Styela clava: one gene and its partners. The protein of the gene in region 4 purifies or fractionates together with the protein of the main gene of each other region. This does not show direct contact. Links are inferred from orthologs where the notes say so. Each region holds a gene or a part of one and is shown on either strand. Other genes may lie near its edges. The genes, in order: cytosolic iron-sulfur assembly component 2B-like, DNA polymerase epsilon catalytic subunit A-like, threonylcarbamoyladenosine tRNA methylthiotransferase-like and MMS19 nucleotide excision repair protein homolog.

Region 1 (6,603 bases), on a different chromosome or scaffold from region 4:
TTATGATACGAAGTATAAACCCTGCGTTAATTTAACATCTATCTATCCGGTCGTTGAATCATCAAAAGGCTGAAAAATAAACACAGGTTTTCTGATGAGTTGAAGCAAGATTTCCATTATTTGAAGCAAATATATGGGATATTTTGATAAGACAGCTAATTTTTATGTTCTATCATAACAAATAAGCCATTTAATCTGATTCTCCACTGTATACCCAAGCTAATGCTATTTTGGCACTACCCAACCCGCTTCCCACCCTTACATATTTACAACATCACCTAATTCATTTCTTACCCCTCACATGTGGAGGTCTACACTCAACCCGCCTCATGGTGCCCCTCAATCTCTCACCCAACCCACCTCCCAGCGTCTATTATGTCTCACCCTACCCGCTTGCCTACACCCAACCCACTTTCTGGTGTCCCATCCGAGATGCCCGCCTACACCCAACCCGCTTCCTAGCGTCTCCCTACGTCTGACCATACCTGCCTATAACTAACCCGCCTTCCAGAGTCTCCATACGTCTGCCCATACCATCAATGCGTCACCTACCTAAGTCCGGCCAACTTGCTAACATGCCCCCATGTCTGATGATAGCTGCCTTCTTGTCCTATCAGCCCCCTCCTAGCTTTTTTGTGATTTATATCTGGTCGAATTATGCCAACGAAGTTAGACGGCGTCAACGTAGGGAAGCAATAAATTATATTTGTCTACATCTAACAATAAGTGCAACTTTTTTGATATCCGAATACCATAACTAGTAGCTTAAAAATACCATTATAACGATTACATTTAACCGGCCGACGGCAGTTCAACGTTCAAATATAATTCTACCCACAATTTCGACCAGGTTTACGAGCTACAGCAAGGCTGGAGAGAACCACCGTTACGGCCAACAAGTCAATAAATCTGCCAAGATTTATATGCCCCACACCCCACCGATGAATGTTAGCATAGATTTAAAAATTACCATCTGGCGACCCAAGGGATGTTATGAAACGGAAACCACAGGAGTGGAACGTAACTGTATGAACGTATGAAACTGATACTGGTCCGAGACGGTTCGTGAAAGCGGCATCTCGGGTAAAATCACTGCAATCGTTTTTAGCGTACTTAAGTTTCTGTTTTCTTAACACAGGCAACCATTATCAAAGCATTCAGATATGTTCGACTGCATTCAAAAATTGTTAATTTAGTTATATTAAAAAATCGGTACTCCCGAAGTATGTGAACTAAGATGGCGGACACCAGAACATAGTAGCCTACGTGTACCAGGTTAGGTTTAGGCCATAATTTTATCCCAATTTTAGTGCTATTACGAGTTCGCGGAATAGCAAAGTGACACCCGTAGTATTATTACGTGAAATTATGGCCTAACCCTAACCTGGTACGCATACTGGGTTAGGCCTACGGTGTCCGCTATTCGGGAGTACCAAAAGTACAATTTTGAATGTATTGACAACGTTACAGATAACAAGTAGGTAACGATAATAAAACTTTTAAAATCGAGTAAGGGAGGGAAAGCGAACACGTACCATTTCTTTTGACAACATCTTTTAATCTAAAATCTGTACGTTTTGAACTTAACTTAATAAGGTTGTGTTCGCTTTCCTTATTCTGTAATCAGTTTTATTCATTTTTTTTTTCATCTTTGTTTTATCGTCTCTTATGCTGTTTTTGAGGTCAAAATAAACTTATATTTTTATACGCGTCTTCTTACTTGATTGTACTTTCCCAATTAATGTAGCATGATTGTTGCATGCTATTAATAATAACTAAATGCCATAATTGTTGTCGAATATGACCGCAGCGGCAAAAGTGACAGAGGGACTAAAACTGGCGAACAACACGCAAAACTACCAAAAGAGGGAACGTTTACAACCGTGTTTGAATATCTGTCTGATCCACGGCATAAATTCCAACTGTCACTTCATTGTTAACGTATTGTTGATTTGTAATTGTTACGGAAATAAACAAGGAAATCGATGCCCGGGGAAACATCCTTTAGCTCTACAGCAGGGGTCGGCAACCTCCGGCCCGCGAAGTAATATAATCCGGCCAGCGACACTTCACCCAATTATAGTAACAAAACAGTTGTTTTGGCGATTATATTCTTTACGTAACAGAATTTATTGTGAGACACGTGTAGACTAAATTATATTATAATCCAACAAGCATAAATTTACAATTACTCGTTTAATAATTTAATTACAATTAGACAAATGGCAACAAAACGCAGAAAAGTTCAAGCTAAGTGCAAAGGGTTCGATGGCGCCGAAAATATTCAATGGAATTTTTTGAGATGCAATGCAATGAGGAAATAAATCTATATTCTAGTGATGGATGCGTTCGTTCGGTTTCTAAAAATATGGGCTGCCCGACAATCACTTGCAACTCTAACTTTTTGTCCCCTGAGCGACAAAAGGTTGCCGACCCCTGCTCTACAGCTTAGGCCAGGGGTCACCAAACTTTTTTGACCGCGGGCCGGGTATGACTCAAACTGTGTTGAAACGGGCCGGATGAATATTCTTGTCAATGCAATATAATAAATTCACAAAAGTTGGGAAATCCATTCAACAATATATCTTCTACATTTCTGAAGACTTGATTCAAATTCTATGTATATCGCAGAATATAGATCAGGAACATCCTAGGAAAACAAATATGAAAGATTTCAATATCTAAACAACTATCCTGAGTTTAGCTGGTATCAAAACGTTTCTGTCGTGAATTAGGAATTTTCAAAATCCGCTTTTTCGCGCCAAAAAATATACGCATCACGTTTGCTAAGTACCGTTATGCAGTGTTAGAAAACCGCGTACCGGTAGAGAAATTTAGCCTATTATGTCACAGCTATTCCTAGACTAATTTTTCCTTACTACTATTAAAACTACAACTCCTAAGGACGCAAATGATGATTGACTTATTTGATTCATACTTAAATTTCCGAAACACAACCAAAAACTAACGAATAGCATTTAAAGTCGCAAAAACGAAATATTGTTTACAACCACGACTGAAAATCTATCAGGGTGAAAAAAGTGTCTGAGCGGAAGCGAAAAGAAATATTATTACGTCACGTTTTTGCATCTTGCAGATTGGCCAATGTTACGAATTAAACAAGGAAGACGATGCTCGGGAAAATCTCCCTTGGAAAAATATTTAGCAATGTTTGCGTGTTATTGCGGGCCGGACCGGCCCGCGGGCCGTAGTTTGGTGACCCCTGGCTTAGGCCTTTGGACAGGGCTGTGCAACCTTTTTCGTCTAGCGTGCCAAAATCGGTTAAATTTAATGACAACATTTTTCCGCCGCGTGCCGGCCAAGATTAAAAACAATGCTTTGCTACTTTCAAAGCAAAAATACACAATAATAAACTATTTAAACATGTACAGACAGATTAACTATTAGTGTAAGTATCTTCCCGACAAATAGATTTAATTACTTTTCTTATTCTATCTAAGTGAGACTTTTGCTGCTTCATTACCGCTGATAGAGATTTCACATTGGGTTTATATTTTGTAACTTTCAAAGAAATACACGAACTACTGGTTTCATCTTTCAGGCTACTCCTGTTGCGAGACTTAATAAGGTTTATAACTGAGAACAGAGATTCACAAGCATATGTCAGTATGTAGATGAAAACATGGAGAGTAGTGCAGTTGCAAAGTTTTTAAGACACGAAAAATTCGCGAATGGCATCCCGATTTCCGCACTTCTCTCTTGTATTCGCTTCCCTTATCGCTTATATATATTTCTTTCAAAATTAATTTATAACAGTAACTATACCCGATATGAGCTGTACAACTTCACAAATCAAGCAGAAATGACGAAAAAGGGCGACACATAATGAACTATATTACGTGAGAATATAGCCAGGTGAACCCTGCGCCCCAAGGCCTCGCTCGCGTGCCGAATAAATGCACTCGCGTGCCAAGTTTGGCACGCGTGCCAGGGGTTGCCCACCCCTGCCTTAGTATTATACCTTCCGATTATACACCCACTACAGCACTAGAAGTACTTTAGGTACGAAACTACACTAGACCCGAAAATAATGTGGTTCTGTTATTTTAATAATTTTTACATAATACTGTCGGATAGGACAGTAGGATCTACATATTTATCCCGGGGGTGAGCCGGTGAGGAAAGACAGTACGACTGCTTAAACCAGTCATTTGTTTTCAGATGAATACACTTAATTCTGCCAAGAATTTTAACCTTTTCGCCTCGCCGCACACAAAGGTCAAATTCTACTAGCTTCACAGCGGTGATACCGAGGAGTCGAGCAATCCTCGCGTACATAGTAACCCCGCATAAGATTCAAACCTGCAAAGCCACGCATTGTAATCAGATGTGTGGTGCTGTGGTACCGGTATTCCTGTATTCCTAACGCTTATCATGGTGCACAACACTGTCGAGCCGCTGTAATATCTGAATTGAGCAGTACAGCAATACACAATGAGATAATTTATTCTGTACTCAGCCATGGGGATTAAGATTCTTTACTTAGTTCTTGGTTGTACTTGTATTTGCTACAAAAACACCATAATTTTACTGAAATGAAATTCCGTTAATGACATTCAAAATTTGTTTTCTCTATGTTATACAGTTATAACAGTAAAAAGCATGAACTTCTCATCTAAAGACAACGCTAATCCACTAGTTCATGAATCTCAGACTCCGAGATATCGGGAAGAAAACCAAGATGACGACATTCATGATGAAATCGATGCCAGAGAAATTTTTGATTTGATTCGTGATATCAATGATCCAGAGCATCCACTTACTTTGGAAGACTTGAGAGTTGTGAATGAAAAAGACATTTTTGTTGATGATAAAGCTAGTTCCGTCATTGTTTCATTTACTCCAACAATACCTCATTGCAGCATGGCTACATTAATTGGACTAGCAATCAGAGTACAACTTCTAAGAGCTTTACCTTCAAGGTTCAAAGTTGAAATAAAAATTGCGAAAGGAACACATCAATCAGAGACTGCAGTTAATAAACAACTAGCAGACAAAGAAAGAGTAGCGGCAGCTCTTGAAAACAATCATTTATTGGGTGTTGTTAATCAATGTTTGACCGTGAAAAACTAACAAAATAGTTGTTTAACAGAATTGTCTGACATTTCTTTCAATATGTATATACATATTTCATGCGTGTTGGAATGGGGAAGAAGTTGTTCCATGTTTTCGATTGTGCGGTGTATGTGTGGTGTGGAGCACTTTAGTATTTTTTTGGTTCGATGCATGGCGGATAACAACACCTCTTTTCCAGACCGTTGGAACGGGCAGAGGCATATTCATGTAAACACGTGAAAAACAACTTTGCAGAATAATTTTTTTTTTTTTTAATTGAACAGTTTTGACAGTTAATCCTGTGACTAAATATGATTGTAGAATTTTAGATCAAAATGTGTGAAACTGAATAGGTATCAAAGCATGACTGCCAATTTACCACCATGCTTCATTTTACATGTTTTATTAATTCAGCAGACAGGAAAAATTAAGCGACTGATGTAGTGGATATTTATGTTACTTGTATATTTTCCAGCAGTGAAACGGTCATAAAAGCTTTATGTAGTCTCATGGTCTTGTTTATGGTTGTCCATAAGAACACTTCTTCATTATCCTGCCGAACGTGTTTATACCATGATTTATATCTCTGATATTATTCTCACAAATGCAATGCCGTCGCCATGTTGCGGATTTTTTTGAGTCAAGTTTATGCAATTGCTTTTCAAGCTTTTGGTAGATAGATTTCAACAATAGTAGATCTATAATTGTAGTCACAATGCCATGCCAGTTATAATAACTGCTAGGTTACTCATAGCATATTAAAATTTACAAAATACTTTCACATAAAAGTGCTCATATGATGATGATGATTGCTGGTTTAAATGTAAACGAGTAATTTATTCAATACTTATTAATTTTTACCTTAATGAGGAACTTAAATAGTTCGTTAGTACTTCAAGCTAATATTATCTGTATATTTTTTTGCCTAGATTTGGAACTATACAATATGCTCATAACATAGCTGAAACATTGAGAATTATTAGCAGGACATAATGAATATAACCAACTCCTTTCACAAAAAATGTCAAACAATTGTTCAAATAATGTTAGTCCTAATATCACAACATTCTTCGCTCGTAAGTAGTGCTTTTTTATTTGTGTTCTGATTTTTTTACCATTCATAATGTGACGAATTTTAGTTACTTTGTCTCCTAAGATGAAATATTGATATTCAAATGTGAATATTTAGTTGAAGATGGGTATAAAAACATCTGTCTTATACTATTCTACTATATTCGATAATTTCAGAAAAGCAGGAATTTAAATTAAATTGCATGTATGTTAAAAAATTTATTTCTTTATTTCAGACATATCGACAGCCGAAGCAGTTGCAGTTTGTTTTGAAGGATTGACGACATTGCTTCTCATTTTCATATTCCTAAACGATTGTTTTCATTTTAAACGTGAATCATCAACCTCATCAAGACTGCAAAGTATTCTTATTATACAGGTACACTTCACGCCATAGATTGCTTGTTATATGTCAAAATAATATATGATTTACCGGTATTATGTATGTTTGTCTGT
Region 2 (7,696 bases), on a different chromosome or scaffold from region 4:
GTGTTTTTAATTTGCTGCCATGGTACTCCAACTCAAAACAAGGTGCCCCGAACTCATTGCAAAATTTTTTTCTGCTTCACACTGTTTCCCTCTGTTTTGCGCTGTTTCCACACTGTTTTGCGCTGTTTCCCTCTGTTTTGCGCTCTTTGCGGTGTTTCGCGCTGTATTCAGTAAGTAGTAAGACCGAGTCAATGATTATACAAAGGCTATCTCAACACATGCAATCAGCTTAAATTTATTTCCATCATCACATCATTGAACATCCGACACTTGATATAAAAGAAAAATATTTTCAAATCATTCATGAGCGAATACCTATTAAACAATGTAACTGAATGTCAAGATGTAACAACACTACTTGAGAAAGTATTCAAAAGATCTGAGCAAATGTATACGCAAGTACTGCAGCCAAAATAATAACAACAAGATATCAAATAGGACACATGAAATACGAAACCAATTGAAGAAACACAGCAGCTAGAACGAAGATTAAGATATATGTGATTACAGTCAAGTTTCCGTACTCCTGAAATATGCGTACCAAGAAAGGAGGACACCGGAACGTAATATGTGTACCACGTTAGGGTTAGGCCAAAATGTCCTTATTTTAGTTCTATTACGAGTTCAGGGACTAACCAAGTGAGTTTCGTAGTATTTGTACCTAAAAGTATGGCCTAACCAGGTACACATACTATGTTCCGTTGTCCGTCATCTTGGTACACGTATTTCTGGAGTACCCAAGTTTTTTTCTCAATAATCCATAGGAATAAAAATTATTATTTTAATTACTAATGTGAATAAATACTGAATATCAAGTTATATTAATAGTGGTATTGATGCTTTTTAAGGCTTTGGTAGTGGTTCTTAGCTGGAGTAAAAACGCAATTTAGGTTCTATCACGTGGACATTGCTACATATTTCTTTTTCTTTGCTGCTTTTCAATCAACTGGAGCACCGATGGATTCCCTGCCCCGCGACCTGCAAAATATGCATCTTTTAAACTGAAAATCTGTTGTCGATTCATTCAATGTATAGGGTGAGGCATAGCTGAAGATTTTGAAGAGGGGGGGGTCGGGGTTTATAATAGTCCCGATGGTCTAACTCTAAGAGGTGTTTCACGCCACGAAAAATTTATATGTATGATATAGTATTTGAACAATTTGAAGACTACTATCTCACACTTAAAGGGGGGTCTGACAGATGTTTGGTCTAATATGGTATATCACATGTTGAAGGTACCAGCATTTGAAGCCCTTCATATGCTGGAGAAGCAATGAAATGTTGTTGATTTTTAAATATCACTACAGAATGTGTTGCATGTAGCCGTATAGCATTTATTTTGTTAAAAAATTCTTGAGCTAATCACCTGTTGTAGACTTTCAGTGTGAAAAAAAAATTTATGAAATTTTGGCTAATCTACTGCAGTCTTTTGTCTCCAAATTTAAATGCTCAATAGGAAATAGATCTAATAAGAAAATACAAATGAATTATTATCCAAAACAATTCTTTGTGCTATACCTGTGCTTAATATTTAACAGACATTTTTATCAAGCCATTGAGTTAAACATGTATAGATATGAATGTTGGTAGCAACGATACAATATTCAGTGCTTATTACAATTTTTTTTCCCTGTACTTTTCTCGTGAACTCATTGAGGTGGGAAATGATACTTTTACTTCACGTGCTTGCTATAATGCTGAATCTGTGATGTACTTATTTCTCGTCCCTATTATTCCATTTTTATCCCGGTTAATGCCCAATAAAAAAAAATGCTTTTTGCAAAAATCTTTCCATTGGACATGTCCGGCTCCAACCAATACATGACCTCTCAAAATCCTAAATTGCCCTTAATAATAACTTCCATAATACCATTGAATTGTCGACTCATTTCTTTATCTTATGTATATTTTATATATTTATATTTATTCTCGCTTGCATCCACCTACGGTACTATTTTATGCCATGATAGTCTTATATACAGCATATAAACAAGGGAGCCTAGATGACTTTAATCGGTCTTGCACACCGATCCGCACAAAGCAATAATTAATCACTGTCATTACAGCTGAAATTTTTTTCGTTATTGTATTATGTTTATAATAGTGTTGACATTGTTTTGTAGCAATGAATCTCTCTCACATGTTGGTCTGTTAGTTTACATGGCTGTTTCAAATGTTTTTTAGACATATCTTCATAAATTCCCTCTAGATGTGTTTCCATGCCAAAACCCCATCTGGTGACAGCAAATCATTCTTCAAAAATGAGTTTCGAGACGTCTGCAATTTTTTTTATTTTAGTTACGGTATTTTGAAATAAATTGCCCACAACAATTGAACCTTGTCTACCATCTAAACATGTATGTGTTTATATATATAAGTATAACAGCCACTTAGACAAGGTATTATTTGAAACAAAAATGCGAATACCCCACAAAACAAATTAAAATTAATCAATTATAACGGTTCCAGGAGAAATATTAATGCATTCAATGAACGTGATGGATTTTGCAGTCGCAAAAAAGTTATTGCTATTGATCACAAATCAATTCCTTAAAAATACTCGACAAACTAATTCAAAATTTTTTGGCACATCCAAAATTATAAATATATCTATGTTGAGGCCATGTTTAGATAATAGCAATAATAGTTATCCAATTTATGTGAAAAAAGTTATTAGTACCAGCCTGAAATCAAGCAATATGGATTATCATGGCAAACGTAAAATACCTCTTATGTTGTAATATGCAGCTGGTGACTTCGTATACAATGACAGAATGGAAAAAAGTTATCAAGATCGGTGGAACTCCATCATAAAACACTTATTAGTTGAAGTTAAAATATGTGTGTTTAATCTATGTTTTTCATACGGACGTCACAATTTCAGGGTGGTATCGCTCACCACATTTCTTTTTTTTGCTGACAGTTTTAGTTGCTCCACCAAAAATTTTCATTGATATAGTGTAAGCTAATTCTGATTTTTGAGATAAAGCATCACTCATCATTCAATTTATATTCTTGCTCACTGCTTTGATCACACAGCATAAATCCTCACACTGTAACTTTTTTTATAATCCTTTCCTTCCTGAAAATATACATATCTCATATCAAAATTTACTGACTTGACAAATCATTACTGTATTGGGTACCAATAAAAACATTTACAACTTACTCCTTTTATGCTGAACATTCGTAGCACAAAGCGGCTCTCTACTACATCTACTCATGGGAGCTTTAAAGTGAATTTAAAATCTTACCGTCAATGTGCTTTCGAGTGCTGGACCGGTCCTAACGCCTTCCCACTCAATTGATTGTTCTTCTATTTTATAATAAGTATAAGTATAAGTTTATTTCGACTCCATAATCAGCAATAGACGATAAAAAAATAGATAAAAACAAAAGTAAAAGTAACTGATTATAGAATCGGGAAAGCGAACAAAACCTAGAGTAAGGTTTGAAACGTACAGATTTTAGATGGAAAGGTATTGAAAAAAGAAGTAGTACGTGTTCGCTCCCAAAAGTAAAAAAAACTAATTAAGGCACGCACGCACACACACAATCATCGAGACATGATACTGTCGGAAGCGAAAAAAGCGAGACTTAAAAGTAAAAAGAAAGGAAAATATACGAACAAATAAAAAAAAAAAATGAATAAATTCTTTTGCCACACCAAATTAATAATTTTATGAGGATTGCCAAATTGGATACCGAATTAGTCAACAAGAGTAATGTATTGTGGATAGAAAAGTATTACTCAAAAGATATCGTCAAGCTGATTATAATTGGAGTCACCTAATGCCAAATTGCCCAATCAGAATTGCCAAGTTGGATGTATGAAGAGGTGGGCTAGACCTGCTTCACTCATCAAATAGAAGCCACAACAAGCCAAATAACGTCCAAATTATTGTAAATACTATTAATCAATAACAGTACCGGTAATCATAAAATTGTTGTCATTGTTTTGTTATCTGCATTCTATGAGTTCTATAGTCAAGTATATCGTGTAATATTCCATGTGCACAACTAACTTGAATATTTATAAGTCACTCACTTAATCTTGACGCGAGACAGCTCGTCAGAGCACAGAAAAACGCAGAACGTCGCACGATGGTTTTCGAAGCAATAATCTGTCAGCATTAAGTCGAGCGTGACGGCGAATTCAACATCGGGACCAAATTTCCGGAGGTACACGGGGTTGGTTTAACCGTAAATATATGGTTCAACTCTATATTTTCTTTCCCCTTTATATATCCCTCTTGCTGTTGAAACATACCGGTAGAAGGTAGCGATAGAATAATTCGAATAGAAAATAAATTCAGATTCGGTATGCATTTGGACGACTAATTAAAAATTAAACGCGGGTCAACCGGCAACACGGTTTGTGAGCACGGATGTGGAAATGCGCTCGTTTTCGCGGTGATGCTGGCAATATTTCCCAAATTTAGCTATGACTCAGTGGTAATTTGGTCTTCCGGGATTTTTAGTTTGCTTAAGACAATAAAAAAATGTTTTTGAAATTATAGATATGCCTCAATCTTTTTAATAAATTTCGTTAGGTCTATTTTGAAATTTAACATTTCTCGCTCCATTTTTCCAAATATTATTTTCCGTGTAGGAACAATAATCGTTTATATTTTTAGTCTTCTCCCGCTGTTCCTGGTTTCCCGCTTTTTTCGTAGCGGTTTTGGCTTTTCGTTTTATTAGTTAGGAAAGCCGCTAATGGTTATTATTTACCATTAATACAGTAATAGCTTGTTCTAAGAGTTAATACACGATAAGTGTATTATAGGATGTGAATTGGTAGTGAAAAATATAGGTTGAAATAGCTTTAACTGACCAAAATGCCGCTACAAAACACCGGAAAATTAGTGAAGGAGAAAGACTGGTCTAAAAACGAAGATGGTGCCGCAAAAAGGTTTGTTTCTTTCAATCATTCAAAGATTTCGAAGTATTTAGGGCCTAGCGAAGTAAACGTCATAACTCCTTGAAATAACACCAAACTGAAAATTTGATGTAAGCAATCAGAAATGTGATGTTAAATTTTGATGTTTTCAAAAAGTCTGTCTAGCATGGAATGAAATTATTGACAAGACGTTTTCAGTTTGAATAAAATCTACTCAATAAAGCTGGTATATTCATTCTATGCCAAACAGGGTGTAGCATTCCATTGCAGAAAACAATAAAAAAAACTTGAGGTTTGAGCAGCTCCAGCATTTATTTCAGTACAGCACACTATACAGATCGAGCGACATTGTCTCGTTTCAGAGAAACCCATTTTGCAGATGATCAGAGACCCCTTCTTCGGGGGACGTCTGGACACTCATAATCCGTAAAAATACAGTAAAATGAAGTTGTGCACAAACTACAAAGAATCGCAATCTGAAAACGTCATCAATTCCTCCGGTAAAAAATAATCCGATTTACCAAAGTAAAAAATTTTCTACCGTGGCATTTGAGAGTTTGGAGCAAAAAGCGGCAGATTTGGTCACGTTACGTCTGCGATTAATTTAGATTATCATTGAGGCAAGCATGGCGCAATATGACTCATCTGCCATCGTAGCAGACGCCCCTCGTTTGTGAGACACATGAAGTTTTTGTTTTATTGACAGGGCATTCGGATAGTGTGCCATATTGTATTTTCACATCATATTTTTGTTTAGCGTCATTTAAGCACTTGCAATGTGTACTTCGTTAGACTCGGTATTAAAACAATGAAACAAGCACACTACTCATCTCTGGAATGGGGGCATTTGGCCCGATTCAGATTTGTAGGATAATGTAAATCAATCCTCCTAGTTCATAACGCTATATATATTACAAAAAATTTAAAATTTGTTTGATTTGAGTAATTACTGCGCCAGTAGATATTTCTTAGTCGAAATAAACAAAACAATACCAAGTTTGCAAGAAACGGTCAAGAAATAACGGCGATATTGGCATTTCAGTACCGCCCGCCTGAGAGGCCAATTTCTCTACATGAGGTTAGCAATTCGCTGACTTTGCGTGTGACTTTTGCTTCTATTCCCAGACTGGAACAAGCGAAATTATCTGAAGAGATGGACGAGAGATATGGCTATAAGAAATTATCTCTTCCGTGTGAGAAGCTGGGATGGCTGATAAACATGTGTGAAGCAGATATCTTGGATGAAGATAAGAAAATGATCAGTGCAGTGGATTTCTATTTCTTACAGGTAAGATATATATTATGAACCAGTGGTTTCTAAGTTGTTGGGGAGCAGAAGGGGAGTTTTTTTTTGCTTCAATGAAAGTAGTGCCCTTAATAATAGGATGCAATTTGCTATTTCAAGTGGTGTTTTTGTGTTTATAAATTGCATGTTATTAATAGCGAAATAATGTTAAAAAAATTCCAGAGTTGGTTTTTGTTCGCCTCTCTTCGTTTGATGTCTCATTTCAAACAACCCCTAATCGCTGACTGTTTAAATAAAAGCTAAGTCACCTTACTTGTTAATATCAGCCAGAGCACTTGTGCAGTTATTTTGTTCAAGATACCAACGCACTCTTCATTTTAACACTGGCCTGTGATATGTTTTTCACTTCCATATTTTTGGAGCCCAGACCACTGGATAATCAAAATTTTAAATCTTTTATCATACTCAAAGATTAAACTAATTGAGTGCTTTAATTCAAAAGGGCGAAACTTACTAAAGTTTTTTTGAGAAAATGAGGAAAATGTACATTTTGGCTTTTAAACAACTTTTTACTAAAATTCTTTTGTGAATATCACTTCTCAAAAATGACCAACTAGCTCAAAATGAAGCTTTTTTTTGTGTTGTTTTCATTCAAAATATTTCCAAAATTTTAATATTTTATATTTTATCTCAACCCTTATTGTAGCAGTATATTATAAGCTTTTTTTGTGCAGGTGACATACCTTTAAAGCAGGAGTGTGCAACATTTTTTGTCGGGGGCCATATAACCAACTTCTGACATCTAGCCGGGCCATTCAAAAAATTCAATATCTTTCGGGTACATAATGAATTAAAAATTTCTCACCACAAAAAGGCTATATCGCTCAGTCTTCAGTAATAAAGGCAAAAAGACGAAAGACTCAAATTTATGGATTTTAACCCCTGTGTGCGCTTTTTTAAACATGAACTGTCAGGTTAGAATTTGATGCTTAGTGGGAAAATATCTGAGTGTTGACAAGGGCCCCACTTATTGTCTTGGCGGGCCGGGTTGTGGCCCGCGGGCCGCCTGTTGCACACCCCTGCTTTAAAGCATATTAATTTGAATTGTAATGATTTTCATAAAATTAATACCTCAATGTATAATTGGTTCCGTGTATGCATAATGTATAATTTTTCATTGTCGGTTGAGGCTTCAGGGGTGGGGGCGGTGTAATGAGTGAATACACTCCTATTTGGCCTCTTCTTGTATTGAATCTCTCAAATTTTATTTAACAGGATGACGGTGAACGATTCAAAGTCTCTGTTCCTTTCAAGCCATATTTTTACGTTTTGACAAAACGTGGGACAGAAAAAGAAGTCATTTCATTTCTGCAGCGAAAATTCCCGAAAATTTTTTCCATCGAAATTAAGAAAAAAGAAGATTTGGATCTACAGAATCATTTAGTTGGATTAAAGCAGACGTATTTAAAATTATCATTCATGCACGTCGACGATTTATCAAGCGTGAGGCAAATTATCCAACGGGCGGTGAACCGTAACAAACAGCGTGA
Region 3 (8,109 bases), about 300 kb from region 4:
ATCATTGTTGAGTTATCCTCAAATAATTGACTATTAGAAAAAATATGCAGGCTCCCTCTAAGAAAGAGTCATTGACGTAATAGTTACCACACATTCGCTAGTAAAGAATATTATTCCAAAGTTCAAAGACATGATATGTCTTGTCTGTATTATGTTGAAACTAAGATATAAATACATGACAACAGTCAATAATCAAATTGCGTAGCAATATTATTAGTCATTGTCGAATAATAAATATTAACTACTTGATAACACCCAAGTTGGCTAGTTTTGTATGTAGCACATAGCTATAAAACTGTGTTTTAAAGTGATTCTCCATGGAGATGGAGAGCTAAAATCATATTCATTAACAATAAAATGGTAATTGGTTTTATAGTTTTTTTTTACACTATTTGGCAGCTGTGAACACTGTGATTATATATTATACAGTTTGCTGACGTAGGACATTCTCAAGGTTAAAATATGATTATATGTGACCCACGCAAGATCTGGCATTGTTAAATAAACCATGAATGAATCATGGACGAACACATGAAAAAGGAAATTATAATAATTACGCCTTATCACAAGAAACCAGCCTAATTTGCGTCATTCAGTTAATAAATGTATTTAATTACTGTTATTAAATTAATAATGTAAACACCAAACTAAACGATTTATTGTAGTTTACGATAGACATACAAGACATTAGAAATTTGCCGCCAGTAATCGGAAGAATTTGTCAAAAAATTGACAGATTACAATTAAACAAACATGTTTTGTCATATAAATACGAGTGTACGCCCATCAAAACATACCCATAAATATTTAAACAGTATTATATTATTAGATTGCAACAACGTTTAATCAATGTGACATTTATATGTAAGTAAAGATAGAGGGTAGAATTATATACAATTATACATTAATAATACAACGGGTCAGAGTTATAATATTACAAATTGCCACATATTCGAACAGGATTTTTATATTCATCCCAGGAGATACACAAGATAAGACAGCTTAATTAATCATATGGCGAACCCTGGTGTGAAATATTAAAATATTTATTTCTTACATCTTTAGAAAAACATTCTTGGCAGAACCTGAAACAATTTGACACTTCAGGTAAAAACCGATAGCAGCTATTCAACAATTTCATTGAGAAGGCCAATATCTGAATAGTTTAGTATACTGGTTCTCAACAAGTGGGCCATTGCCCACTGCTGGGCCACAGTAACATATGGGTTGATGGGCCATAAACCTTTTTTTGCTACTGAGTGGTAATTTTCATTTCAACTATTAAAGTGGAAAAGTTCATTTTTTGGAAAGAATTTTTTGTTTTCCTTGTAGTTTTCTACTTTCATGAGAAAGTTGATTGGCGCAGAATTTTTGTGCAACTAAAATGGGCCACAAGAGAAAAAAGATTGAGAACCACTGGTTTGGTATTTATTAAAAATCCCATCTCTGGTATTCATTTTGTTTCCAAATAGTATAAACAGATACCTTTCACCCAAAAATGAATCATATTTTATCACAAAAAGTCATTTGAACAAATAATTTTGTGAAAATTTTACACTACTGTATAACATCTAACAGCTTGTGGCACAACTAATCCAGTGATCAGTATATTCAAAAACATTGTCAAATGATCTGAATATTAAGATTAAATTGATAATAAGTTTGAATCTCAGGATCGAGTCCAATGCCAACCACATCACCCAGGGTGTAATACAGGGGTCGGCAACCTACGGCTCGCGGAGTAATATATTCCGGCCCGCGACGCTTCACTAAATTATAGTAACAAAGCAGCTGTTTTGACGATTATATTCTTTACGTAACAGAATTTATTGTGAGACATGTGTAGACTAATATATATTATTACCTATATATACATAAAGTACGGTATATATACATAATTCACAATTACTCGTTTAATTAACCTATAGTTTAATTATAATTAGACAAATGGCAACAAAACACAAAGGGTTCAATAACGCCGAAAATATAAGAGCAAATTGTTTTGGAATACAATTAGGCAATAAATCTATATTTTATTCGAGAGACGTATCATTGCTTGATTTTTATTATAAAAAGTGTCATCGGTTCGGTTTTCAACTTTCGGCCCGCCAATGACTTGCAACAATTAATTTTGGCCTGCGAGCGACAAAAGGTTGCCGACCCCTGGTGTAATAAATCGGGCAATGGCAATGCCGAATCGTGAAAATTCAGAGTACAGGTAGCTCATTACACTAAGTGCCTGCTTGCGAGGAGCCTTGTTTGGAGCGGAAAGCGTCAAAATAATTAGTATGTCTACAAATTCAAACCTTGAAATGGATTCACAGCTTCCACAGTGAGGAGATTTATCTGATTGCGAAGAATTTGACAGCGGTCTTTGCCGACGATGATAATGCTGCTGACGGGAATCTCCAATCTTCAATTTAGAAAAGATATCTTCGACAAAATTTTGCGCATATGAATCGTGTGAATCATCAATGCTGCTCCTATGAATTCTGAATAATATATAATATTATTTTTAAAAAAAATTTTGAAGAAAAATTCCAGAACAAAGTCTACTTTTTCTCAAAACGAGTCAAATTATATTAGTATCTATTCAGTTGATTCTGATTGTATATTGCAAAGAAATGATGCAGAAATCAACATTTTATGCAGAATAACTAATAATAGGATGTGAAAAAATATTTTCAAAATTTAATTTAAATTGTGATTATTCAAGTTAATCAAATACATACGGAAAGCTTCAAATACAGTACAATATAACTCACTTTCTATTAATTGGGGGATGGAAAACCACGTCATGTTGCACAGGCACCAGTAAAGAAATAGTTATTCAGTTAGCCTACTCGTTTTCAGATAAATGGACTTGGAAGTGGAGGAAACCATAATCAGCCAGCGGTTATGTTAAAACCCTATGACAGGATTGTGCAACATTTTCGTCGGTGGGCCATATAACCATCTTTAGACATCTAGCCGAGCCACACAAAAAATTTTAATGTTTGATGGGAAAAATCTGAGTGTTGACAAGAGCCACACTAAATGAGTGAAAGTGGTGACTCCTTTACGGCCCATGGGCCGGGGCCACGGCCCATCGAATTGGGCCTCGGCCCATCAGGCTATGGGCCGCGGCCCATCAAGTTGTGTAACGGGACTATTCACCTGGCTAACACAGACAGTCCCCGAACTAATAATAGAACTATAATGTGAAAAATCTGAACTAAATTTTGTCCTAACCCTAACCTGGTACACATACTACAGGAGTGTTCTTTTCTGTATTTTAGTATTTTGCTTAATTTTTATATAAAGGCTTATCGTAAAAAAAAATTTGGCGGCATCCCGCGATTTTTTTTGGTTCGAATATTGACAATTTTGTGAAAATTGAGAATTTTGGTAAGATGATTGAATTTTTTCTGATAGGGCCGCGGCCCATAGCTTGATGGGCCACGGCCCATGTGGCCCAATGAGATGGGACGCGGCCCCGGCCCACGGGCCGTAGAGGAGTCACCACCCCTGTAGCACTAAATGGCTTGGCAAGCCAGGCTGTGGCTCTCGAGCCACCTGTTGCACACCCCTGTCCTGTGACATTGAGGAGTCCGACAATCCTCTAAAACATAATTATCATTTGAAAATTAACCCCCGACCGATTAAAACTCATATAAAGTAATAAGAACTTTTATGGCAAGTATGTTCATAATGATTGACACGATGTGACGAACAGCGAGCTCATTCAACAGTAATACTCGAAACATTAACTGACCTGATACAGAGTTGAGGAGAAAACTTGTTTTTTCCATTGTCACAGTTTTCTTTTTCAAATTCACTTATTCCACAATTAATGATTGCACTTGCTTCATTATTAGCCCATTCCTCAAACTTTTGTTGTTTTGCAATTTTACGAAGTTCGACTCTTGATGAAGCAAATATTTCTTCAGTTAAATTGGTACATTCTTTAAATGTCTCAAGAGAACTGGATATAAGATGTTTTGAAAATTTATCAGCCCACGGCAAAAGGTGATGAACCAACGCATGGTGTTCTGTGTATTTCTCTAACGCTTCACAAAGCACATAACCGAAAAACTTTTGAGTGAAATTGTCATAAGTTCCAGCGAGACGAATAGCTGCTTTTGTTATATCTTCACACCATACTGAAATGGCATCTTCTCGTCTCATGTCACTGAAGGCTTGCAAAACAACCTTCTCCGCACATGAGTCGGAGTATTGCAAAATATTTCCATGAAAAGGCAACATAATTACTATTTGAGCCATGAGCGTTAAATTAAATCTGCTATTTATAAGTTTCTACGTCATAATAAAAAGTTCTATGTGAAAATGTAAAAGAAAATGTTCATTTTGATTACACTATATTCCGATATATAAAATAAACGATTCCTTCTTTAATTTAATAGGCAATGTATATTCAAATTTAATTCATTTATTAATTTATTGACATAGTTTATTTTGATATCTCTGACAAAACTGCAAAAGCACACAAAAATATGCATAAACCGTATCAAGGTAGATTATACAGAATTTTGGGCCCACAAGTTTTCGGACTACGATGGCACACAAGAATAAGATGGTATTATAAAAATGCAACTGAATTTTTGCGACATGTAAACCTGCACAATACGATACCGGTATCGTTGAAAATGACATTGATTACCGGTATGTGACTTCTCGTTTTCAAGTTAGTGAGTCACAACAAACAGCAAAATTCACATTGCAGCCTTGAGTACTATACTTTTTAGGAAACATTGTCTGAATTCGATACCGGTACCGGTTACACCTAAGTTAACTAATTCAAAGCATTCCTTACTTTCGGTGATAACAAAAAATTACCAGATTGGCTATAACTAGTATAGATGAACCAACGACTACGGTAACATACTGACATACGAGATGAACTCTGCCGTTCTGCATTCACTAACAAAAGCCAATCCGCCGACTAATTTTCGTTCGCTGACGTAAAAAGTGACCAAAATAATCCTGTGAACGATGGCGAATCTACGGTGACATCTAACGAGGAGACGGGAAGGGTTATTATATGTGTTTTCCATTTGCCGTGTTAGTTGTAACAGCGTGGTTTTTCTTTCCCGTGGTGTCAGACATCGGACTTCTTCTTTACTGATAAACTAATGTTTACAAAAGTGTACAATGGTGATTTGCAGCGACAATAATGTACTTGAGGACATAGAAGATGTTTCCCCAGATACCAGCCGCCTGTACGCTAATAAATCCAAGGTTGTTCCTAAAATTACAAATCATCGACTGAAAATTGAAAAATCAAATGCTGAAAGGATTGAAAATTTAAATGGAAGGTTAGTTGAAAATTTATTCGAATTGCTTCAATCCCACAATGTGGAAATAGCATTCCATAGGCTACAGGAGTGGTGACTCTTCTACGGCCCATGGGCCGGGGCCACGGCCCATCTAATTTGGCCACATTAGAAAAAATTCAATTATCCTACCAAATTTTTACAAAATTGTCAATATTCGAACCGAAAAAAATCGCGAGATGCCACCAAATTTTTTTCTTACGATAAGCCTTTATATAAAAATAAAGCAAAATACCAAGCAACAGAAAAAAATACTCCTGTAGTATGTGTACTAAGTTAGGGTTAGGACAAATTTTTCTCAGGTTTTTCACATTATAGTACATTATATTATGAGTTCGGGGACTGACTGTGTTAACCAAGTGAATAGTCCCTTTACACAACTTGATGGGCCGCGGCCCATGGGCCGTAGAGGAGTCACCACTTCCACTCTCCATAGGGCCCTAGGGACCAAATTAAAATGTGAAATGATTGCTCTGTTTTGGAGGCGCAGTTCTTACCACTTCATGGCAGCTCCTGTCACGAACGAACCGCGGCAGCTCTTGCCATGGTTTTATAGCGCTATTCAGTATTCAGTAATCAGTATTAACGGTATATTCACAAATTAATGTACCAGACTTTAATTGATCATGTGGAATTATATCTACTTAAACTCTAACCCTAACCCCAAATCCATCAAAACTGTATCCATAAGAAAAACGTTCCAACTTACCCAATATTTGTCACCATAAGGGACAGCCGTGTCTTTACGGCCCACCTGCCGTGGTTACGGCAGCAAAATTTTACCTGCCATTGGTTTTCAATTTGCTGCCGCGGTAACGGCAGCTCGACATTGGTTTGTGGCAGCTAAAATGTCAGTCGCCATAGAATTGGCCGTAGCGGCCATGGTATGGAAATACCGCCATGGTTTTGCGGCAGCTGCAGACGCCACAGAATACTTAAAACTGCACTTGCTGTTTTGGTTCAGATTTAAGCCACTACCGTATAAGATTATTATTTATTAGAGTGTAAATAACATTAATAAATGCTGTAATTAAAAATTGAAATATAAAATAGTGTTTCACATTCATTCAAATAATAGATACAACATTATTACAGCGATATTCACTAAAAATAAAATTCTGGGAATCTTTTATATTCACATTGTATCTGTCACAAACCGAAGAAATAAATAGACTTATATTTTTCGCTGCACTTTATAAGACTGTATAACGGAGTATGAACATATTTTTGTTGACTATATAAATATACTTCTTAGCGCATGGGTGTGCAACAAGTGGGCCACAACCAGTTGTGGGATTCAAATTTTTTGTCAGCCGCTTCTTTCATGAAACCCGTATTTTTCAGCTGGTTCTGTTACAAACAGAACATTGACAGTAATAGGGGTGAAAATACATGAACGTGAAATGTTTATTGCTCTTGTCGCTGCATTAAATCTTTCTCCTTTTTGCCAAGTGCGTTTATTGGCACAAGGCTGAGCAATAGGTGCCTTTTCTTCTCTTGCCTTTCCCGCATGGAAAAACTAAATTTTATGTGCGGCGCGGCTAGATGTCTGAAGTTGATTATGTTATGGCCCATCAACAAAAAATGTTGCACACCCCTGTCTTAGTGTACATGAATCTGATGCCCACTACCTCACCAGCATGCTATAAGTTGGGTAGAGAATGACAAATTCAAAACATTTCGGTTTTTCAAAATTATATTAGTTTCTCACACAGGCTTCTTGTGCAGAGCCTTGTTCACAGAAAATAATAAATATGTCGTATCAAAAATTTAAAATATTCTCTTTGCAGCATCATTCCTGGCACCCAGAGAATTTACATGCAAACATGGGGTTGTTCTCATAATTCTTCAGACTCTGAATACATGGCTGGACAACTTGCAGCATTCGGATATCAAATATCAGGTATCAAGTAGAATTGAAAACTTGAAAACTGTTTTAAATAAAGTTTGTTCGCAGTTCACAACTTGGACAAGAGTAGACCTATATCTTGTTTTAAGAACAATTTTGATACATAAGATTAAGAAGTTTATTTGTGTATCCAATTTGTTCGCTTATTGGACACAAAAGTGGACCTATGTATCGTTTTCTTAAATCATTGTTGTTGTAGCTGGTTGATTGTTTTTGCAGAAAAAACTTTTCAGGGTAAATAATGAACAAATCAATTTAAAATCGTCAGTAGGCTACTTGAAGATAAAAAGAAGTCGCTAGAAGAATATTATTTTTATTGTTTCCAATTTCCTCTGAGTTCCATGGAACCCCATGTTACGCCTAATATTTTGCACTTTTTATTCACTTGTGCTGACCACCTCCGCCACACTTGTCCACCAATTTTTTCCGTAAATTAGATTCTTCTGCTTATCAGGTCTTGAGGTACGGTACCAATACGCAACCTTCGTGTCCATTTGTATATTGCTCTCTACTTTTTAAAATAATTGTTTCCCTGATTAAGGAATCTCTTAATCACTAGTTACAAATTATTTTTTTGATGTTTTTGTCTATTATATCTGTAGTTTTGTTATCAAATGAATGGATGTAATTCACGGATATTTTTATAAGCATCTTCGAATGCTAGTTCTATTTTGTATTTATGAATATAACCTAATATTTTCAGATGATTGTCAGAATTCTGATTTATGGCTTCTAAATAGTTGTACAGTGAAAAATCCAGCTGAAGATCATTTCAGAAATATGATCAAGTAAGATTAATAATAATAACAATATTTTAAAAAGACACAATTTTTACCACTGCTTTAAAACAGTTCTTCAATGCATCTA
Region 4 (7,597 bases):
GCTAGATTTCTCGTGAATTTGTACACAGCTCTCATCTTCTTATTGTCATATAATATTATGCCCTGTCGCCATTAATTCATTTTGCAACAGAACTAAAAGAACAACTGTCGGAGAAGCTGGAAGAGCTCCTGCCCCGAAATCAGTTGGAAGTTAACGTTGTTATTTCAACAAACATAAATACTGGGAATGTTCCACATTTTACGCCCACAACCGAAGTCCTCGACACAACTTCAAGCACAGTCACCCCAGTTGTTTCAGCAACTTCTACAAAAAGTAATGAAGAAGTTTCAACGTCGAAATCCAATATGACATCAGAAGTAACAGACGCTAATGCATCTTTTCCAAGCACAAGTACGTGAAAATGGAAACTAACAAAAAATTGGTATATTCAAAATAGAAAATATTTTGTTTTTCAATTTAGGTTGCGAACTTCAATTTAACGGAACTTGTTACTGGGGAAGAATCTTGGAACACCGGATAAATTTTACAGAAGCACAACAGTATTGCGAAGACCGAAATTCAACTCTCTCGACATTTCCAAACAATGAGACTTTCCAGAATGTAACAGAATACTTCCGATACAAAATACCTTCACCCGAAATAAATCATTATGCATTTTGGATCGCAGTGGAGATAAATCCAATCGTAGGTGTCGTTTTCATCATTCATAATTTCTTATAGCGTGACCGTATCAACATTTTCATCTTATCTCATTTAGGAGTACGATGTCCCGAAGAACACATACATCCAGTGGAAAAATGAATTATCAACTCCACCCAACAGTTATACCGAGTGGACAAATGTCATTGTGCTAGTTTATCATTCCCAAAAGATAGAATCAGCAATGAGTAATAGACCGCCGAACCATAGAATGTATGGGATAGTTTGCTCTTATCCAAATTAGAAACTGCATGACAGTTTTCTGTTCAAGTGATGATTTTGTATATCAAATTTCAATTCCGAATAACTCAATGATTAAAAATCGTAGAAGTGATACCAGAATATTTTCGATAACGTGGGGTCTTTTGTAAAACAATTTTCTTCTTATTGCTTCTGTTTTATTAGAATACCTAAAACAGCACTGAAAAACTGCATGAAACGTTTTTTGTCGCAAGTAGAGTTTATATTAGCAAAACATTGGGTGAAAACTAGTATCTTTGCGCTCCATGTTACAGAGTGCGTAAGCCTAAAAACAAAACAACGAGTTTACTCTATACCAAATCACTTTCACTATATTATTAAAACAACCTCGTTCTTTTGAAATAAAACCGGTGCCATGCTTTATCGTCCTCGCAAGAAAGGTTCAAATGACTCATTTTATTTAATGTAGCAGTACAGTACTTCCTACATTTTTTCTGTGTGTCTCTCTATTTTAAAACACAAAGTTTGTTTAATACGAGTTTCAGTTATTTTAATTCAGATATACCAAAATGCTAACAAACATTGGACATATAGGCAATATATTTTACAAGTCTTATAAGGTGACAGCACATCTGCATTGCACCCGTAAACTGCACAAGACTTTTGCACCTGTATAATTTCGCACCCGCGGACATAAGAGCCGTATGTAGCAAGTCCGAAATATGTGAGAGCCGCACAATTTTCAAAATTATCAATATTAGAGCTCATTAAATCATTTTGCATTGTAACTGTTAACGTTACATTGATACTGATTTGGGAATGTGCCTTTGTGTATAGTGCGACGCGAAACCTGCGTTTGGGCTGTTGACTGCGACAACATCGGCAATATTTTTTTTACTGATTTAAAATTCCATGCCACAACGATTTTCATACTAAAACATAATTTGTCTTAATCATTGATGAAAATTTCTTCTACTGCCTGATAAATTAAAAAAATTGTTACACTACATTTGGATAATAATAAATTCTAGCGAGAAGGGCCACATAAAAACTCTCGCGAGCCGCGGTTTGCCCATCGTTGCTTTAGACCAGGGTGGTCCAAGGTTGTCCGCTCCGAGGGCCACAAAATCATTTTTGCATTGTTCGCGGGCCACAATAATATCAAGAATAAGTGAACGGTGCACAGCAAACAATTTTATTGTGCAACACACATTGATCAGTATTTGTCATTTATCAAGCTAAAACCTGCAAAAGTCTTCCTATATATAGTGTAAGATTTCAGACTCTTCATAACGAGAAAAGTGCTTCCGCAAATGCAAGTGCTTTCAAACCTCGATAAAATTTTCGAACCAAATCTTAACTTTGTAAAATGCCATTACTCACAAGATTCTAAAATGCCGCTTTAAAATTATATTCTTTTATCACCGACATATCAAGCAAGCATTTGTGATACTTTTTCTCCCACATACAATTGAAAATCTATTTGAATTCGTCAGCTTTCTTTTCAAACACATGCTTACAAAACAAGAGAGCTATGCTCAAATATACGGACACGTAGAACAAGACGAAATATATTATCATCAATTCACCGAAAAGCATAGAGTACCGTATCCTGCACAAAGACGAACAGTGGCTCGGCGGTGTGGCGCATCGGCTAAGCGTTAGGAATACGCTCGCCACCGCATCTCTGATTACGCTTCGTGGGATCGCAGGTTTGAATTCCATGCGGGGATGATCATGTGCGAGAGGATTGCTGGACTCCTCGCCGCCGTAGGGTGGTTCACGGTTACGGCTTCCTCCACCACCAAGTCCATGCTTCCGAAAACGAATAACTGGCTAACTAATCACATACCCAACCTGGGAATGGGAATGTATAGGTTATTAAAGGTTCACGTAAGGTTTTTTATAGTCGTGGATTATAGGCAAAGAAATATTATTAAAGTTCAAATAATTCAATTATATTGTGTTACCTTGTAGGCGCATCAACTGATCTTTAGTAAACTATAGTAGACTATGCGCCATCGAATTTACAGGGTGGCCCAATTAAAAGTGGCCTGAGTATGATACTGAGGAACGAAAGTAAGTTATGTGAATATATAGATTTTTAAAGGTTCAAGTAAGGTTTTTAAAGGACGTGGATTATAGGCAAATAATATATAAGAGGTTGTCGATCACTGGTGTCAGTTTAAATTTATCATGAATGATCCATCAGTTCAAGCATGGTTGTGTAAACTTTGGCTCTTGTGAATGAGGTAACTTAATTGTCATTATGTCTCCCGGTGATCTTCAGTTTAGTTGCAAGAATCAAAAATTAGACCATGTTAAAATTAGCTATCAGTACCTGTTAGCGGCACCTGATCGTATATTTTGATACAAATTATGGTTTCAATTATGTAACTTAAATGTAAATACCAACTCTCCAAAACACTAGCAAAAAAAGCATCCGAAATTTTAAAATAGTAAAGTGTAGAGAGAATTTTCATGGGGTCAAGGGTCGAGAAAACATCCATCGGATTCACTCGTTGCTCCCAATGCCCATGTTGCTTCTTTCATGTTCAGCATTTTATTTGGCTATCTTCAACTAATTTATCATCTTTTTAGAAGTTATTACACCCGTTTTTAGGCTTTGAGCACTCATGGGCCTCGTATTTATTAGGCTATATTGTCAGATTGGTATTTCAGTATTTTGATTGGTAGATTCCAAATCCTTATTTCAGTAATATGGACAAATAATTCATGCTCAACAAAGTAAAAACACCGTCCTGCCGTGTGAAATGACCTTATCAAGCAATGAAAATGGGAAGGACGGGGAGTTTAAAAGTTCTGGCCGGCGATCTCTATCCTATCGTGATCGTTGCGACGAGAAAACGAGAGAAATAGCTTGCTCGATTTCGGGTTATCGTCTGCGCGTTTTGGACGACCATCCGCATACTTCGGTGGGCCTTTTACGCCACTGTGACGTCGGAATGACGTAATTTTTCGGTGACGTAGTCAGGTGGTGGATAGGATTGACATATGCAAAAATTGTTGAGCCAGGCCAACTAGAAGTGGATGCTAAACTATACCAGACCCCATCTGTCAGTCTGTACCGGTACCGTACATGGTTACAAATTCTTTGTCTAATTAATCAGTACCGGTATAGAGTACATGTGATTGTTTTCCAAAATAGGTACCGTACCGGTACGGTACCGTACCGTACGGTACTAAATTAATTATTGAAAGTTCAGAAGTTTGACTTACACTTGGATGCTTTTTTATTACAATTCTATTTTATCCCTGGAATTCAATTTAACAAAAAAAATAAAATGCAAGGGCACAAATCTAAAGTTTTAAACCAGCTATAGTGCAGTAGTGTGAATATTGTTGGCACTGCTGTTCCAGATATTATGGGGCTAAAAGTAAAGTTGATTTCTAACCTACAAGCCTTGGTAAATCGCACTACAGCACTATGCCAATGTCTGAATGTACATACGATTCTTCTGGTAATATTATTTATAACAATTAAATTTTTATATTCAAACTAGTCAACATCAAGATATATATACTGATCAATATAAATAAAAATATTACATTGTTCACTGCTCTGATCATATGAATCATGGAAGAACTTGTACAAAAATATTTAAAGGATGATGAAAATGAGAAGGATTCTTTAGTGAAAGATATTATATTGGCAATTTCAACTGGCTCAGGAAGTATTCTTCAACTTATGGAAACATTGCATCATGATTTAACCAGTACAGATGTAGATGTGAGATTGAAGCCAGTCAACTTACTTGCAGCTGTGCTATCAGACCTACATCCAAGCTGTTTAAAATCGAAAGAATCCGCAGTTATTATTGAGTTTTTATGTCAACGTTTACAAGATCATTTTTCCCTTCAATCTCCCACATTAAAATGTCTTGTAGCTTTAAGTTCTCGTGGTGATCTTCAAGTAGGTGCAGCTGAATCTATTATAAAAATCTTGTTCAAGGAAGTGCATGTTCCATCCTGCATGCAATCTGATAGACGCAATGTGTATGAACTCTTAGCCAATCTATTAGAACATTCTACGACTGAAGTGAGAAATTTAGGTGATGAATTTGTATATGGTGTAATTACAGCAGTTGATGGTGAGCAAGATCCAAGGAATTTGTTGAAAGTTTTCGATCTTTTGTATTCAGTTGTTCGGTCTGGCTTCGATCTGTCAAAATTTGCTGAAGAATTTTTCGAAGTTGTTGGTTGTTATTTTCCAATAGACTTTCATCCCCCCTCAGATCTATCCGAAAATAAAGTTGTTATTACGAATAAAGAGCTTGTCATTGGTTTGCGGAGAGTTTTAACGTCTTCTCTGTTATTTGCTCCGTTTTGTATTCCATTGATGATAGAAAAACTGGAATCAGATGTTCAAAGTGCTAAAATTGATGCAATCCTGACGTTAAAATCTTGCATGAATGTTTATTCTAGTGAAGATATCAAATCACATGTAAAATCTCTCTGGATTTGCATCCGAAAAGAAGTGCTGTCATCCAATTCTAAAGAAATTGAAGAAGCATGCCATGATCTGCTTAAAAGAATTGTTCTCGTTTTGTCCAAAGCACCTGTAGAAGTATCGAAAAAATCAGAGTTAGATGTATTTTTAGAAGATGTAAAAGTGTCGTGTTTACCTCATTTAGTTGACCATTTGCAAGAGGTAATGGCTTGGTCATCATCTAAACTTATGATTTCATGTTCCGAAGCTTCTAAGCGATCTTGCGAAATTATTGTGTCTTCCATGGTTCCAGTTTTGTTAAAATCACAAGATAAAAAAGATATGATGATCGCGGAAAAACGGTTGGCAATGGAAGTTCTTGTAAATGCTGTTAAGTCTACTTCATTGCATGAATTCAAGGATGACATGGGTTCGCACCCTTTGTCCGAGCACAAAAATGATCTAATTGAACTTTTCTGCGGTCGACTTTCTCTGAATGAATTTGTACATTTACGTACCATTGCGCTTGCTGGCGTTGCCGCATTATGTAATTTGGGATTACTAATAACTCCTTCGGAACAGATCACAATTGTTCATAGCCTGATTAACTGTTTAAATAATGAAAAAGATACAGCAATTCTTAACGATTTACACATGACATGTGGATTTTTATCCTCAAAATGGCCTGATGTCGCTATAGCACATTTACTACCAGTTTTAAAAATCTCTCTAACAGGAATATTTTCCATAAATCAGCAAGACAAAACTAAATGTCTTTCAACAATATGCAGTATTTCGACTCGTATTGAAGTAACATCTATAACATGCGATTTGCTTATGGAACAAGTTTTGTCAAGAAACGTGGATGAGAAAAATGTCTCAACGATACTCGCTTGCTTGGATTCATTGTATGTTATTGTGAAAGGAAACGTCAAAGATAAAAGCACAGTGGATCATTTTGCAAATGTACTTGTATTTCCTCTGATTGAGACTTGCGTCAAATTATCTGTTGTACCGTCTCTCCCCGAACAATGCTGCTCTACATGCAGCGATCTTCAGAGTTTTTCTAGTAATTGTATTACGTGGCCAATCATGCAAAAAGCTTGTGAAATTTTAAGAACAATTTGTCAACAATTAGAGCCTGGAAAAATCGCAGATAACATTTGTGTAAATCTGAAAAAAATATTTCTGGATTGTGATCTGGTCTCTCTTGATATCAAAATAGACAAATCTACGTTCAACCCATTTTTATTCACTAAGTTACCACTGCAGACAAGGTTGATTTCTATCCTAACAGCGACGATTTGTGCATTCCATAACAAAGTTTTATTTCCATCCCCTGACACATTCCTGGAAAAACTGCTTCATCTTTGTGGAGAGACAATTGATCAACCATCATATGCTTCCGCTTCAAAATGTATTGCTGGCATCATCAACAAACAAAAAGAGCCATCTACAGCATTTCTTGACAAGGTTTGATAAAATATTTTTTAAAATTATCTCGGAACATTACAATTTTTTGTCGTTGGGTAAAAATTGATGTTTTATAGATGAACATCTTAAAATCAAACAAAACAATATAACTTAATATCACATAATGAATAAGCGTTTGCAGTAATAAGTGGCTTCGTGGTGTGACGCATCATGCTAAGCGTGGGTTCACAAGTCTGAATCCCATGCGGGATGGTTATGTAACGGGGGATTGCTGGACTCCGTAAGGTGGTTCATGTAACCGCAGGCCGGTTACGTCTTCCTCCACCATCAATTTCATGCTTCCGAAAACAAGTAACTGGCTAACTAGTCCTATACTAGACATGAACTGCTGACCGTACAAGAGGCTGTGGTTTGCCCTATGGTTAAGCCGTCTTATCGACTTTCCTCACCCCGGGATAAATATGCAAATTCTATCCTAAGTGATGAACAATGGTTAATAAACTAAAATTATTGTACCAGGTGCTTCAAATCAGTGATTGTTTATTTGACGATTCCGTTTTGGTCGAAAGCAAAGTTGCAATTTTAAGTTTGATCGTTTGGGTGACGAAAGCTCTTGTTATTCGTTCTCATTCCTACACTATGAGATATGCAGACATCCTTTTCCAACTATTTGCCACCGAAAAATGGGGGAAAATGGCAGCTGACAGTTTTGATATTATTTTAAGGTCAGTGCAACTGATTTCTTAAACTTTAATAAGGTATAATACGATCATACACAAACAGACGTAAGTTTCATTTTTGTAGAAGTACTTTGATGGTTTTGTTTTTGGGGGGTTCACTTCACCCTGTACA

What was found.
Region 1: the proteins of MMS19 nucleotide excision repair protein homolog (region 4) and cytosolic iron-sulfur assembly component 2B-like purify together in Homo sapiens (affinity purification with western blotting; 11 studies listed by BioGRID and IntAct, counting the BioPlex papers as one, with this or other methods). This does not show direct contact. The link is inferred for Styela clava from reciprocal best matches to the Homo sapiens genes MMS19 and CIAO2B.
Region 2: the proteins of MMS19 nucleotide excision repair protein homolog (region 4) and DNA polymerase epsilon catalytic subunit A-like purify together in Homo sapiens (affinity purification with western blotting; 3 studies listed by BioGRID and IntAct, with this or other methods). This does not show direct contact. The link is inferred for Styela clava from reciprocal best matches to the Homo sapiens genes MMS19 and POLE.
Region 3: the proteins of MMS19 nucleotide excision repair protein homolog (region 4) and threonylcarbamoyladenosine tRNA methylthiotransferase-like purify together in Homo sapiens (affinity purification with mass spectrometry; 4 studies listed by BioGRID and IntAct, counting the BioPlex papers as one, with this or other methods). This does not show direct contact. The link is inferred for Styela clava from reciprocal best matches to the Homo sapiens genes MMS19 and CDKAL1.

The regions. Positions count from the first base shown.
Region 1 is NC_135255.1:15,933,870-15,940,472, reverse strand, and holds cytosolic iron-sulfur assembly component 2B-like, read left to right. Parts: upstream 1-4,584; 5' UTR 4,585-4,623; coding exon 4,624-5,094; 3' UTR 5,095-6,006; downstream 6,007-6,603. Other genes in the region: organic solute transporter subunit alpha-like, read left to right, coding at 6,098-6,152, 6,384-6,526.
Region 2 is NC_135254.1:1,499,148-1,506,843, forward strand, and holds the start of DNA polymerase epsilon catalytic subunit A-like, read left to right. Parts: upstream 1-4,656; 5' UTR 4,657-4,838; coding exon 4,839-4,912; intron 4,913-6,025; coding exon 6,026-6,188; intron 6,189-7,421; coding exon 7,422-7,696. UniProt on the Homo sapiens protein: Catalytic component of the DNA polymerase epsilon complex. Participates in chromosomal DNA replication.
Region 3 is NC_135262.1:13,444,132-13,452,240, forward strand, and holds the start of threonylcarbamoyladenosine tRNA methylthiotransferase-like, read left to right. Parts: upstream 1-4,996; 5' UTR 4,997-5,151; coding exon 5,152-5,315; intron 5,316-7,123; coding exon 7,124-7,236; intron 7,237-7,945; coding exon 7,946-8,030; intron 8,031-8,109. Other genes in the region: uncharacterized protein LOC120332139, read right to left, coding at 2,307-2,492, 3,755-4,263. UniProt on the Homo sapiens protein: Catalyzes the methylthiolation of N6-threonylcarbamoyladenosine (t(6)A), leading to the formation of 2-methylthio-N6-threonylcarbamoyladenosine (ms(2)t(6)A) at position 37 in tRNAs that read codons beginning with adenine.
Region 4 is NC_135262.1:13,141,949-13,149,545, forward strand, and holds the start of MMS19 nucleotide excision repair protein homolog, read left to right. Parts: upstream 1-4,388; 5' UTR 4,389-4,459; coding exon 4,460-6,784; intron 6,785-7,264; coding exon 7,265-7,470; intron 7,471-7,597. Other genes in the region: uncharacterized protein LOC120332922, read left to right, coding at 91-351, 422-645, 719-904. UniProt on the Homo sapiens protein: Key component of the cytosolic iron-sulfur protein assembly (CIA) complex, a multiprotein complex that mediates the incorporation of iron-sulfur cluster into apoproteins specifically involved in DNA metabolism and genomic integrity.